Coturnix japonica: one gene and its partner. The protein of the gene in region 1 purifies or fractionates together with the protein of each later gene. This does not show direct contact. Links are inferred from orthologs where the notes say so. Each region holds a gene or a part of one and is shown in the gene's direction. Other genes may lie near its edges.

The links. Proteins that work in one complex are often made in the same cells at the same time.
Region 2: the proteins of CCT2 (region 1) and WDR92 purify together in Homo sapiens (affinity purification with mass spectrometry; 3 studies listed by BioGRID and IntAct, with this or other methods). This does not show direct contact. The link is inferred for Coturnix japonica from reciprocal best matches to the Homo sapiens genes CCT2 and DNAAF10.

What each region holds. Positions count from the first base shown.
Region 1 is NC_029516.1:32,199,028-32,206,371, forward strand, and holds the start of CCT2 (T-complex protein 1 subunit beta), read left to right. Parts: upstream 1-3,023; 5' UTR 3,024-3,156; coding exon 3,157-3,159; intron 3,160-3,485; coding exon 3,486-3,560; intron 3,561-4,114; coding exon 4,115-4,180; intron 4,181-5,047; coding exon 5,048-5,159; intron 5,160-5,611; coding exon 5,612-5,688; intron 5,689-6,674; coding exon 6,675-6,787; intron 6,788-7,344. UniProt on the Homo sapiens protein: Component of the chaperonin-containing T-complex (TRiC), a molecular chaperone complex that assists the folding of actin, tubulin and other proteins upon ATP hydrolysis.
Region 2 is NC_029518.1:370,859-378,187, forward strand, and holds the start of WDR92 (WD repeat-containing protein 92), read left to right. Parts: upstream 1-3,550; 5' UTR 3,551-3,580; coding exon 3,581-3,769; intron 3,770-3,853; coding exon 3,854-3,954; intron 3,955-4,024; coding exon 4,025-4,155; intron 4,156-4,465; coding exon 4,466-4,567; intron 4,568-5,161; coding exon 5,162-5,277; intron 5,278-5,463; coding exon 5,464-5,598; intron 5,599-5,683; coding exon 5,684-5,781; intron 5,782-6,030; coding exon 6,031-6,238; 3' UTR 6,239-7,329. Other genes in the region: RNA-binding protein PNO1, read right to left, coding at 1,606-1,673, 1,862-1,932, 2,014-2,131, 2,422-2,482, 2,715-2,798, 3,090-3,239, 3,314-3,484. UniProt on the Homo sapiens protein: Key assembly factor specifically required for the stability of axonemal dynein heavy chains in cytoplasm.

The sequences.
Region 1 (7,344 bases):
TATTCTCTTAAAATCAACTTAAGTTCATTTACATCTTTATTTTAAATTCATCTACACTCCAAAAGAGAAAAATAAAAAAAAAAAAAAAGAGAAGAAATTCCACCACAAAAGACTGCGTTAAGATGGAGTCAAGTCTGTCAATGTCCTTTTATATAACATGCATTGAAAAGACACAAAGTCATGAGCAAATGTCATAGAATCAGAATTACTCAGGTTGGGAAAGACCTCAAAAATCATCAAGTCCAACCGCAGCCTAACCATAGTACCATGACTCTAACAACCCTCTGCTAAATCATATCCCTGAGCACTACATCCAAACGGCTCTTAAACACATCCAGGGATGGCGATTCAACCACCTCCCTGGGGAGCCTATTCCAGTGCTTAACAACCCTTTCTGTAAATAAGGTCCTTTCTCAATCTTTAGAAATTCCTCTTTTGGACAAGATAAGTGAATAAAGTCTTAGCAGCTGTAACTCTGACCATCAGTACGCTATTTCTTGTGATGTTGTGCTGTAAGTCGTCAGATGTCTTATGAGGATGTTATCCCAATGTGGTGTTTGCTCCAGATTAACGCAGTGTTTTGTTTGGAAATATGTAGGTGTACAGATAGAACATGAGATATAAAGTTACCTTTAAAGTTGATGAAACAAGTTTTGGACATTTCTATATTTTTATATATTACAAAGGGCATTTTGAATTTTTTCTTGCAGTTTTAATAATTATTTAGTGTGGTAATATACATACATTGTGACACTGTTTTCTGATATACCCATTACTTCGGTGTAATTCTATTTTATGTAGCAAATGTGTATATACAAAGGAGATTCTGTAAAAATATGATCATGAAATAGGCTCGAGCCCTCTGGAACAGGGACTGTCTTCCTGCATGTCTGCAAAAGCCCTTCATGCTTCGAGGTCCCAGTCACAGCTCCCGTCCGAGACCTGTGGTGAATGAACTGTCAAGAGATGAATGTGGAGGAGCAGCTCTTCTGCTCTCTGGAGAAGCCTTAGCACAAAGGTGCCATGAAGCTCACCTTGCCTCTCCCCAGTGCCAGGGCCATGCCATGTGTGGTTACACTCAACCACTTGCCAGCAGCCCAGAGAGCCTGGGGTCGGTGCGTCCTTTGCTCTGGTCCTTCCCTTTGGCAGTAGAACAAGAAGTCTAAAGTAGGAGCTTTGATGTCATCAGGGAATCTGCCTTCCTAGTGCTCGGGCCTCGTGCAGCATCCCTTGAAGCCAAACAACTAATTCATATCTGCGTCTGGGCCTCCGGGTGTGTTCCTACAAGATTGAGTTCTGCTGACAGCAGCTCTGTTACACCTGAGGACCTGGTTGGTCAAGTTCTTCAGGAATGGTCTAAAAATACTGTAAAAATATAAATATATTTAATTACATGTACTGAAAACAGGAATCCTATTTGCTGTGGTCAGAGTTCAGACTAGTATGTGTGTTTTGATTTCTTAGTCATACCTGCATATATATTGCTTTAACTATTGTGTATGAAAGAGGAAGTGATTCTAAGTGTGTGAAAGATCAGGATTACACCTGTATTTGTAATGGTTGTGTTATTTAGGAGTGGATATCAGTGAACTTAACTCCATATTAATGCAGTTTTTTTGCATTAGAATATGTGTGTATATCATACACCTGCATTTTATATATAATATATTATATATTTGGTACTAACTTTGTATTTTCCCTGAAATTTGCCAAATCTTGAAGACAAATGTTCTCACTTGTAAGACTTTGGTACATAAGAACTGAATGTATATGAAATGCTCTGGTATGAAAGACAGTAATGTTGTACAGTACCCCACAATGTCTCAACCAGCAGGCGTTGCCTTTTTTGCGTGTTACATCTCAATCCACTGCAGCATCACCTTATGTCTCATGAAATATCGTCTGTGTTTTCTATCTAAACCGCAGAGCTGCCCTTACAGTACAGCTGACAACAGTTCTATCACGTGTGCTGGCTGGTAGGAGTAAGAATACAGTAGTCACCAGTGTGCCACAAATGCATTTATTAAATGCAGAAATACGTGTTTCTACAAAAGGCCAAAATCTTACGTTGTATGTTCCTTTCTTGTCATTACATTGTATGATATTGTAAGATTATTGTATGTCCTAATTTGCATTATAAAATGTTTTTTTTTTCCTACTTAAAGGCATAAATATAGCAACTTTGTATAAAGGTAGCTTTCTAGATTTTTATTTCTTTTATATAAAAAGGTCTAAACAGTGAGAGTATCATTGCCAAACTGTTTATAAAACTTCATTTGCCCTGTTGGATGAATTTGTTTTTACAGACATTCCATATTTCTTTGATGAAAATTATACTATGCAGAAAGAGTGTATTTTTATGCCATTCCATGTTAATCTTAAAAAAAAAAAAACACACAAAAAACCCCAACAAACAAAAAACAAACAGNCCCCCCCCCCCCCCCCCTTGTTTGAAGCGATCCTAATTGAGAAAGCTTACCAAATGTTCACCTTTAAAGCTGTATTATGTATTATGATGTTTTCCCCTTTACCAGTGCCAACTTCATTTGGAAAAAAAAATAATAATAATTGTAGCATGGCAATAAACTATTGATTTTACATTGAAAATAACGTGTGGGTTACTTTAATATGTGCTGCTGTTAGTGTGGGTGCATACTGCATTAGTAGCCTGTTTTGCTCTTCTGTAATATCACACAGGATTGTAGGGGTTGGAAGGGACCTCTAGAGATCATTGAGTCCAACACCCCTGCCAAAGCAGGCTCCCTACACCACGTCGCACAGGTAGGTGTCCAGGAGGGTCTTGAATATCTCCAGAGAAGGAGACTGCACCACCTCCCTGGGCAGCCTGTTCCAGTGCTCCGTCACCCTCATATATAAATGTCTAATCTCAACGAGCCCTGTTTCAGTGTACAGCTTAGTAGCTGTACATGCTCTGTGCTCTGTGACAAGTCCCTTTCCTGTATGCCCCCATTGAGGTAATGGCGGGCTGCCCCATCCCGCTCCCTCCCCCCGCCTCGGTGCGGACTGCATCTCCCACAGCGCCGCGCGGCTCCATCCCCGCCGCTTCCTGTGACGGCAATTCCGCCGTGCTGTGGCGCTGTGTGGCGGTGTGTGAGCTCGTCCCGTACCGGAGCCGGCTGTGTGTCCCTCGGCATCATGGTGAGCAACGGACGGCCCCGCACCGCGCCCGCGGAGCTTCCACCCGAGGGGGGGAGAGGGAACGAAGGAGGCGCGGAGCGGCGGGGAGTGGAGTGGAGTGTGGAGGAGGAGGTTGGGCCTGGAAGGTTCCAGAGCGCGCACGAGGCGAGCCCGTTAGGCCGCGGGCGGGTCTATTCAGTATTAATGTACTTGTTATCAAAACCAAGCGTGACACGGGAATGATTTCAGTATTAAAGCCATCTTAGCTTGCTAGTGCTGGGGATTTGTGTTTAGAATACAGTGTTTTGTCAAAGCTCCGGGACTATTCTCTGCTCTCTCTGCTGTAGGCGTCCATTTCTCTCGCTCCCGTCAACATTTTCAAGGCAGGTGCAGATGAAGAGAAAGCAGAAACAGCTCGGTTGGTAAGTTTATTCTCTCAGATAAATGATGCTCTGGGTAATTACAGTCGTTCTTTTACATTTAAATTTACTTTCAATGTGTACTGCTGTAGAGCTTCAGTAGTCTCGTTTTGTCTTTTGTTGTTACAGAAGGTAGAAGTGTTTTGTTCATATCAGCAGTGTTCTTCTTTCAAGGCCATGCTGGATGGGGCCCTGGGCAACCTGATCTAGTAAAGGTGTATGTTTGGTGGCCCTGCCAGGCAGGGGGGTTGGAACTACATGATCCTTGAGGTCCCTTCCAACCCGGGTCATTCTGTGATTCTGTGTATCTCAGCTTAGGAGGTTCTTATTCCTTGGAAGTCTTTTGGCTCTGTTATGTGGTTTTATGCTTACTGCAAAAATTAAGTACGTTACTGAAATGTAGCACTTAAGAAACTTGGAACCAGATTCTTCTGGAAGGAGTTTGCCTGTAGAAGAATTTAGTTAAGATGTCCCCTTGGAAGTTAGAGCCTAGCTCTTACTTACTGTTTTAAAGTAGAAATAAAGAATTTTCTAAGGTGTATTTGTTTTTGTTACAGTCATCCTTTGTTGGTGCAATCGCTATTGGTGACCTGGTCAAGAGCACTCTGGGACCTAAAGGCATGGTAAGATAGCTTCAAGTCCTCAGTGGTCAGACCTGTTCATTTCAGGCTTTAGCCCACGCAAACCTCATGGAGGTTCGTGAGGCCAAGTGCAAGATTCTGCACCTGGGTCAAGGCAATCGCAGACATGAACACAGGCTGGGCAATGACTGGAGCCCTGTGGAGGAGGACTTGGATAGATTGTTGAATGAAAAGCTGAATATGAGCCAGCAATGCATGCTTGTAGTCCAGGAAGCCAACCATGCTCTGGGCTGTATTGAAACAGTTGTAATCAGCAGAGAGAGGGAGGGCATTGTCCCCCCTGTTCTCTCTTAAGAGGACATGCCTGCAATACTCTGGGTTGGGGTGCCTGACACAAGAAAAGCGTGGAGCTATTGGAGTGGGTCCAGTAGAGGACACAGGGATGATGAGAGGGCTGGAGCACCTCTCTTACAGAGACAGGCTGAAGGAGCTTGGCTTGTTGAACCTGGAGAAACAAAGGCTCCAGGGAGACCTCAGTGCAGCCTTCCGGTGTAGAAGCCTACAGGAAAGCTGGGAAGAGTGTGTAGTGATGGGACAAGGTGTAATATTTTTACTCTGAAAGAGGGCAGGTTTAGATTAGTTATAAGGGGGAAATACTTCACTCTGAGGGTAAAGAGGCCCTGGCACAGCTGTCCAGGGAAGCTGTGGATACCCCCATCCCTGGAGCTGTTCAAGGCCAGGTTGGATGGGGCCCTCGGCAGCCTGAGCTGGTGGACAGCGACCAGCCCACAGCAGGAGGTTGAAACTGGATGGTTTTTAAGGTCCCTTCTAACTCGCACCATTGTATGATAATTTAGTTTTAATAGTTACTGTTCTTTTTCAAACTGTTCTATTTCTTGCATCACGTAGGACAAGATTCTCCTCAGTACTGGGAGGGATAGCACGGTGACAGTGACCAATGATGGTGCAACCATCCTGAAAGCTATTGGAGTTGACAACCCAGCTGCCAAGGTCTTGGTTGGTGAGTTTCTAACAGTTTGTCATTGTCATACATGGAATTTCTTCACTTGTAACTTTCTTACGTAGTTTTAACTTCTTCATAGAGAAATATTCTACACAGTGTGAAAAATTGACATATTCTGTGATATTGCTTATCTATACTTGAGAGCATCTGTCTGGCCTTACTTTATTTTGATCATGATCTTTAGGCACACGTTGAGAGGGGGGTGGCTCTTGAATACTGATAGGCTAAAACAGGTCTGTGTTGCAAACGACGATGGGGAATTTGAAGGATGATGTTGTGTTTGATTTGCATCTCAGTTTCAGTCTGAGTTACAGTTTGACAGCCTCTTTGGCAGTGGAATTCTTTTTTCTTCCTTAAAGTCATGTGAGGTACAAATGCTGAAGATAATAGCTGCTAGGGGCGTTCAGTCTGTTTTGAATGCAAGCATTAATGCAGTGCCTTTCTTTTAGATATGTCAAAGGTTCAAGATGATGAAGTTGGTGATGGAACTACGTCTGTCACAGTGTTGGCAGCTGAGTTGCTGAGGGTGATGTATTAACATTTTTAGACGGTTTCATATAGGCTGTGTAGTCCTGGGATGCCAGTAGGAGATGTGTTGTTGATGCTTATGAAGTGGGCTCCCAAAGGATAGGAATACTTTGCCCCGTTGCCATTAAACTGGTAGGAAAAAACCCTTGCATACTGTCTTCATGTATTATTTTAGATATATTTTGATGTAGTCGGTATAATGCATAGACTCACAAGTATTTTGATTTGATACATTTCTTTAAAAAATACTTTCTCCTTATTTTATTTTACAAGTGAAACAAAGTATTCCTGTGTCATAGGCCAGTTTCTGGATTTTGCATTGAGCAGTGCATGCAATGTGAGGCTCCTTTAAAATCCTTTTCCACAGTGTCCAGGAGGGGAAAAACCAGCCTTGTCAATTTCTGTTGTTGTGTGCACATGACCTGAATTTGTAATATTCCTTTTAAACACTGCAGATTGAAGATTACCAAACACTGTGTTTGAAGTCACTATGAAATAGGTCCTAGAACTGAAGAACTCAAGCTGTACTGGGGAATCTAATGGTCATAGTTAGTGGATCTGAGATTAGGAGCATCTGAGAAATGGTGTGTCAGCTTGCTGACTTCCTTGCAAAAGGGACTTTGAGGGTGTTCCTTGCTTTCCTCTGAGCCCCCACTGCACCTTCAGTTACAGGTTTAAATGAACAAGGAACCAATGTGTAACATCAAGTGAGAGTTGGCTGTTTTGATGCATGTGTCTGGTTGCTATTCATATTAGAATTAGTTTTGTTACTTAATTCCAAGGGCAGATCATATTTGCCTGGATTGGAGGGGGGGGGAGTGGAAAGGTGCCTAGGATGTTCTCCCTCTCTCAGGTCTTCACTTCATTTTTATAGTCCTGATGCTTTTGCTGGCATTCAGAATCTTCAGACTACTCCGAAATATCTTTCCTAGTTAATGTAAATGTTCTGTTTAAGAAAGCTAATGATTAATTTTATTCAAATAGGAGGCAGAGTTACTGATTTCAAAGAAGATTCATCCTCAGACCATCATTGCAGGTTGGAGGGCAGCCACAAAAGCTTCGAGAGAGGCACTCTTGAAAGCAGCTGTGGATCATGGGTTAGTAATGTAGAGTTGTGGAAGCTCGTTATAAACTATTTGAGAATGAAACTTACCAATGAGAATTATAGAATGCTGGGGATTTTTTTGCTGTTTGAAAGAAGCAGAATAAATGAATACTTGAGGGGAAGAGACTACTTTTGAGTTTGGTGAACTGTAAAAGCTTTGTAAGACTACTGAAAATTGCTTGTGGTATTCAGAAACAGAAAATGAACAGTAATTCTCTCCATAGGACAAAAGTCTGAGTCGTTATTTCAGATCTCTTGCTCTGATTTTAAGTTTCTTTGAATTCTTTACCTGACTGCACAGGCTTTTCTAAGCAGGTGCAGAGTTTTTGTTGTTAATCAGTTTAAACTATTCTTGTAGTGAAATTACATATCATAGAATACCAGTCCAGTGTTTTAGTACAAATAGTGCAAGGGCAATTAAATATATATATATATATATATTAGATATAGCCTTGATATAGAAAGAAGAAGCACCAATTTCTACTTACTAGTGTAGGTTTAAATGTTGTACCATGTTACATAGCCAAAAATCATGGGTGTCATCTTGAC
Region 2 (7,329 bases), on another chromosome or scaffold:
TCTGCCATAGCTGTTCCTTCAACTGAGTGCTGCACATCCATGGGCTCTGTCTGTGAGAGAAATCCAGGTGCTTGGTGTCCTTGCATGACGTGAAGTTTTGCATGTAGATCGATTGGAAACGTTCCTCTTGTTTACATCATTTGCGTAATTTAAACGAATCATGTTGCCAAACTTTGGTAAATGTTAATGTTCAAAACAAAAATCTCCACTACCGTGTAACTTTCTTCCTCTGGATCAGTACGTGGCTTATATAATCCCAGCCAGTGGTTTTATCTGTTCCAGTGTCAACTGCCATGTGCTCTGCTTCGAGGGGGAACTGGTCTTTTGTGAATTATTTTTTTTGTACATAAGTATTTGTTACAGACATTTTAGCAAATGCTTTTCATTTCTCTTACTGGCTTGTGCATATCTTGGCTGTTGTTAGAGAAGTTATTTAGTGCTACCGTTATTTCCTTCGGTGGGTTGGGGGGGTAGGTAATAAAGGGTGGATGGGAAGGGGAGGGATGAGGTTTTTCTTTTGTTTTTTTTTAGTTCGTGTGGGGAAAAAAAAAGATTTCTGTTGAATGTTTAGTTTTTCCTCTGCATGCTCCATCATATGTTGTGGGAACTATAAGAACCTTCATACTCTATGAATACGGAATAAAAGATTTGAACCTTGCTTTGGGTGCTTCACTACTTAGCGGGACGCTCTCAAGGCAAAGCAGAGACCTGTGCTGGTGCAGGAACTCCTTGTTGGTGAATGCCCTTCGCAGAAGCAGCCCAGGAGCTGTTTGCCATTGCTTTTCACATAGCCTGTTGATTCCTGCCCCCTAAAGGCAGCCCATGAAGGTGTGTGGGCCTCTGCAGCCCCGTGCTCAGGTCAGTATCAGCACACACCTGCTTTAGGAGGAAGATTAAATCACTTTCCTACATCCATGCCTCGCTTTCCCCTCTAGAGCTCACTGAGGTAACTGACATACCCAGTAGCACTGTGTAAGTGCACGGCTTTTTGTTGTTCAGTGAGCTCTAGAGGGGAAAGCGAGGCATGGACCAGAGCTGGCACATTCTTACCTGGAGGTTCTCAGCATCACTACCAGGCTGCCCTGCAGATCACTCATGAGAACAGGAATCCAGGTAAGCGCAGGTTCTAAAGCAAAGTGCAGATACACTGTTTAACTCTTGGCCTTCACACCGTGGTGCACTGCTGCAGTGTCAGACTCTCCCAGCAGCCTGCTCTTATGCTTGGCACTGCAATTGGTGCTTCATTTTTACACCCAGATGCTGACTGCTCTGTGGTAATGAACACGTAACACTGCTGACTGCTTTCAGCTCCAGACTTACAGGCTTTCTCAAGTCCTGTGAATGGTCTTGTATTGGATAATCAGAAAGTCAACTCTCAATCTTGCTTAGGCTCAAGAATAAAGCAAAATCAGGCACCCATATACTTCAGTATACCCTTTCATCATTTTTACAATAGCTTTTAATGGCTGTACAGAGGTTGTGTTCAATCAGACAGGATGCCTGCAGGATGCAGACTGCACAAACAGTCCCACTTTTCTTCTGTGCTTCCCATTCCAGCAGAAGGCCGAGTGCTTCCACAGCCGCAGTCTTTGGTAAAGCAGCACCTCAGAATCTTTCAGCTGCTCTGCTGGCCACAGCCCGAATATTGCCATAAACTTTGGATGGTGGACTTCCTGCAAGAGAAAGTATCTGTTAGTACGTGTGTTACAGACACGCTGTTCTGCTCTCATGTTTAAATCTGTGTCAGTGTGGGCAATTTGACCCTGGGTGAGACAGATGCTCAAAGCTTCATCTTATTGTGAGCATTGAGTCAGTCCCACTCACGGCACATATAACAGCAACAAGTGGCAACAGGACTCACCTAAAATGAGGTTGCAAATTGCCGTTCGTGCCATTTTAATGTTCTGAAAAGATCCTAAAATATGGATTTTCCTGTAAAAAGGAGTCAAAGCAATATTAGTTAATATAAGAAATGCAGCAATGATGACAGCTGATAAGGATGTCAGTACTTACGAGTCAGCAAGAACGATCCTCGTTCTCGTTACGTTTTCTATAGTGAATTTGGTTTTTCCACCTTTCCCCGCTATTCTCCCTATTGCTCTGGACAGGTGATCTCCCTTCAAAGGTTTGACTAAAACAAGAACAAAGTACTCAATCAATTACGCTGTGCTGCGTATCCTCCGTGACATTTCCTCTATTCAAACAAAGGGAAAAGCAGCAATTAACACATGTTGAAACACATCAGTTTTAGATGCTGCTCTCCTTGTGTCCAGCTCCAGGTTCTCCCCATAGACAGTTATGCCATGTATTGGCATCGGGGTTTTCCTGATCCCCAAAGTGACACACGTGGAAAAGAAGGAAAGAGCAAAGAAGTGCTCAGAAGTGAATGGCTGCTTGAGTAGCACAGCAGAAACTACTCACCATCCGTAACTTCAAATGATTCCAGGAAGAGATCATCTAATCTGATGAGAGCGAGAGCGTCCTGCAACATTCAGAGTCACCATCAGCCTGAGCACTGCAGCACTGTCACACACAAGTTCTTTACAGGCCCAAACAGATCAAATCAGTCACGTATCTCCATTTGACGCATCAAACATCAGTTTTAACTTCAAACATTAAAGAAAACCACCCTGAAGTTTTCTGTTTCTTGATGTCATGTCCAGAGTGCTTGAAGATATTGAGCAATAGCACAACCCGGCCGCTGGGAGACTCACCTCCACCTGGAAGCCGAGTATGAAGGCTTTGACAAAGTCAGCTGCTTTGGTCAGAGCACTGAGGTCTTTGGTCTCAGCACAGGTCTGCAGAACGAGAAGATACGTTTCTATGTTATCAGGCAAACGGAATCAGGACTTGGAAAGTCAGTGAGATAAAGGCTGGCTGTATAAAAGAAAGCCAAAGCCACGTTCGTGTAATGCCACCTCCGCATTGTGTTCTACTGAAAGCGCAGACCAGTAGTGTATGTTGTGCTTAAGACAACAGGCTGCCCAGAGAGCTGTGGGTGCCTTGGAGGTGCCCAAGGCCCGGTTGGGCGGGTTTCAATGAAACACGAGGGATGAGAGGAACGTGAGGACACACAGCACAGCGCTCACCTTGATCTCCACGTTCCTGGTCTTTAAGTTAAACCTGATCTGGAGCTGCAGGTGCTCCACGATGGGCGTGAATATCTTCATCCAGTTCTCCTTCAGCGGCGTGTACCTGTTGGCCGGTACCGGCACCTTCCTCACCTCCCCTTTCCCCACCTGCGGACAGATGGGCGCTGAGCGGACACGTGCAGCCCGTCCGCCCCATCCCTCCGCCTCGGCGCCGCGCTCACCCCCATGGCCGCGGCGGGCAGCGGTGGGAAGGCGGGTCTCTTGCTGGGCTGCGGCCCCGCCGCATCCACCGCCTCCATCGGCTCCGCAGCCGCCGCTCTCCGCTTCCTCCTGCCGCGCTTGGAAGCCACGCTGGTGAAGCCGCTCCCGTTCTCATCCGCTTCAGACTCCATAGCGTGGCCCTCCGCCGGAAAAGCCACCGCCACTTCCTGCCCGTCCCGCCGTCCCTTCCGCTTCCTGCGTTATCCGCGTCGCTGCCGTCGCTCGTTATGTCGGCGGCGGGGCTGGACCGGCCGCAGGTGGTGGTTCACGTGCAGCAGCCGCTGACTTACACCGTGTTCGACTGCAAGTGGGTGCCGCGCAGCGCCCGCCTGCTGTGCCTCGGCAGCGCCCCGCGAGGCACCGGCCTCATCCAGCTGTACGAGCTGCGAGCCGGGCGGCTGCTGCTGCTGAGCGAGGTGAGCGGGGCGATGCGGGGCGGCACCTCGTAGGCCGAGGGGTTTAACGCTTCATACGGTGCCGACCGTGTCCTTTATCTGCAGATCGAAAAGGCCAAACCGATAAAATGTGCCACCTTCGGGGCAGCCTCCCTGCAGCAACGGCACCTGGCGACAGGGGACTTCGCGGGATGCCTCAGCATCTGGTGGGTGTGTGATTCCTTACAGCGCTCCTGGCTACTGAAGGCAACGCTGTGTTATCTGTTTCTCACATAGGAACTTAGAAGCTCCTGAAGTCCCCGTGTACTCCGTGAAAGGTCACAAGGAAATCATTAACTGCATCGATGGGGTCGGAGGCCTCGGAATTGGGGAAGGTGCCCCAGAAATTGTGACAGGCAGCCGGGATGGTGAGTGGGAGAGAGCTGAGCTGCTCAGTGACATCCCTGAACTACAGGCTGTGGGCACCGAAATGGAGGGCGGCCCTTTGGGATGAGCCTCCTCTGCTTCCTTTGGGAGCTGGAGAGGAGGAACATAAAGCAGAACAAATACAAAATAGCAGCTAGACATCTTATACTTTCCCTGTGCTTTTCTGTTTGTATTATGTTTCATTTCTTCCTATACACTGACATAGTCTGGAGGCGTCAGGCTGCCTTTCCCTGGGAAACCAAGAGTGGTGCATCAGTGCATCTGTAACACTGATGGCTTTGCTTTCCTTAGGAACTGTGAAGGTGTGGGACCCTCGGCAGAAGGAAACTCCTGTTGCCAACATGGAACCTGCGCAGGGAGAGAGCAAGAGGGACTGCTGGACGGTGGCCTTTGGTAACCAGTCTGATAACAGCCCCCTGTAATGTCACTGCGTGTTGACAGTAATCAAACCACTGAAGGCAGGGTTTGTTGTTCGGTGTTATCACATCTGTGTCTTTGCACTGTGTTTTAAAGGCTGTCTTTCCATCACGTTTGGTGGTAGTTGGCTCAGGCATTGTTTTCTTACCATCTCTGCTCAATCACTTCACAGACAAGCTTTATTCTTAGGCATTTTTACAGCCCTAGTGTGGGAATTGAACATTTCTATGTCTAGGAATGTAAAAGCAAAGAAACCACTTTGCCCTGGAGGGGTCTAACTGTGATTGTGCATGGAGAACCAATATCTGCTGATGACATTAAGACATTAATGTAAGAGACAATCCCCAGAGCTAACGAAAGACAGCAGAGATGCTTAACTTGTGCTCTTGAATTCAGGATGCTTGAGCCCAGGCCATGTCCATCCCAAACTCTGTGCTCTCAATTCATTAAATCCTACTATATGATGCTTTGCTGGCATAAATCTAAGTTGAAATTGCTGACTTAAGAGGTCTCAAATTTACAGCCTAAGAGGGGTTTCTGTGTTGTGATCAATTCTGTCTCTGTGTCCAGGCAATGCTTACAATCAAGAGGAACGTGTAGTATGTGCTGGATACGACAATGGGGACATTAAGTTGTTTGACTTAAAAGCCATGTCACTGCGATGGGAGACCAACATTAAGAACGGGGTAAGGTGCTGTGGAAGCAGGGCTTCATTCCAGCTGTGGTGTGTGTCTGTTTACAGGCAATCGCGTTATTGCCGAGTTGGTGAAGCTGTTGTAAGAATAACCAATGATTAGATACGTGTCTGCAAATCACACTCACAAATATATGCTTGTAGCAGTGGCTGAACGTATTGGTTTCACTCTTTGCAGGTTTGCAGTGTGGAGTTTGACAGGAAAGATGTGAACATGAACAAGCTGGTGGCCACGTCACTGGAGGGAAAATTCCATGTCTTCGATATGAGGACTCAGCACCCAACTAAAGGTTTTGCTTCTGTTTCAGAGAAGGTAATGGGGAGATGGATCATTCCTTTAGCAACATGTAGTACAGGAGTTTGTACAGAACTTTTGTCCAATGCTGGTTGTTTCCTAGGCACACAAATCCACCATCTGGCAGGTTCGGCACCTCCCGCAGAACAGGGATGTGTTTATGACGAGCGGAGGAGCTGGGAGCCTTCATCTCTGGAAATAGTAAGTGATCACTGTCTGCTCTATAACAGGGGAATAAGGAACCAAAACAACTGTTTATTGTTTAAAGAAAGAATCATTGTAAAGATGGTGCGTGGGGACTCACTTCCAAGCTCAGATATGATGGATATGATGGCTCGCTATTTTGAAGACATTTGTCTTATCTTGAGAACAGAGGAGACCTTTCTGTGCTGTCTTTTAAGAGCAGGATGAGATTCCTGTTTGTCTCAGTTTTCCTTTCCTTTCTGCCAGCGAGTACCCGGCTCAGCGCTCAAAGAAGGACTCGGAAGGAGCTGAGATGGGGGTGGCAGGTTCTGTCAGCCTCTTGCAGAACGTGACTCTGTCAACACAGCCCATTTCCAGCCTGGACTGGAGCCCCGACAAAAAGGGGCTGTGTGTTTGTGGTGCCTTTGACCAAACTGTGAGGGTACTGATAGTTACTAAGCTTAACAAAGTGTGACAGGAAAACTGGGATTGCTGATGAGAAAGCAATACAGTTTGACGTCTGTACATACGGGAGGGAGGGACCTATTGTCTTTAATCTAATTTCTCCCTTTTTAGAACTGGATTAAGGAAATAGAGACCAGATCTTTCTATTGAAAGTTGAGATACATGCACTTAAGAGTTGTTTGATGGTGCTGCAATGACTTGAAAAAGTTTCCAAGGCATAAAAGTTTTACCTTCTGGAAATGGGAATTTACATTAAAGTAAAGCGTGCCTTTCCATTAACACAACCCGTAACTTAAATCACAAGACTTGCTTGTGTTCAGTTTAACCACAGTGCAAATCCATTAATGCTTGTGGAATTGTTTGGCTGTTCTATATGTAGTGATGGCCATGTGCATTCATGCAGTGGAAAATACTACACACTCCCCCATATAAACTCTGTACTTACTGGATACGTGAGTTAGAATGTTGGTTAAAGTGACTGAGAGTTCTTTATTACACTATAGAAGCTACATTGAGTATTAAATATCCAGGTTTAATGGTGTGAAGTTGTTGAAGGTGGAATCCAAATTAAACTCTTGCACAAAATGCACTGTTTTATTCTTTTAGTTTGGTTTTGTAATAAGCTTTTTAAATGTTCTGTTGATTTTTGCATCTGTTTTTAACTTTGTATCCCACAAATAAAATTATTTGGGGCGTTGTTTTGATATGAATGAAGTATCTTATTGGGACACTTTGGCACTTAGAGAAGAAACGCACTCCCAAGAACAGCATGTAGTCCTTGGAAGGTCATCATCTTGCATCAGAAGCTACTACAGCTAATTCCCCTTTTAAAACGTATTCTGATGCTTTGGCAACCTCATAAGGGTTCAGTATTTTTTCAGAGCCAGCTGTGCCCTGCTTCTCAAGCCCAGAGTTCTGTGGAAGTCTGCTTTTAATAGACTGATGCTCAGCTATAGGCTGTCTTCAGATTCAGAGCCTCTTGTATCCTGCATTTGCCAAGAGGCAGTGGAGATGAAAGCGCAGTGACTGAGAGTAGCAAACCAGGAGGTATCTGAAATACGTGACAGCTTTTTGTGGTGGAAGTTTGCTTAAAGAAAGCCA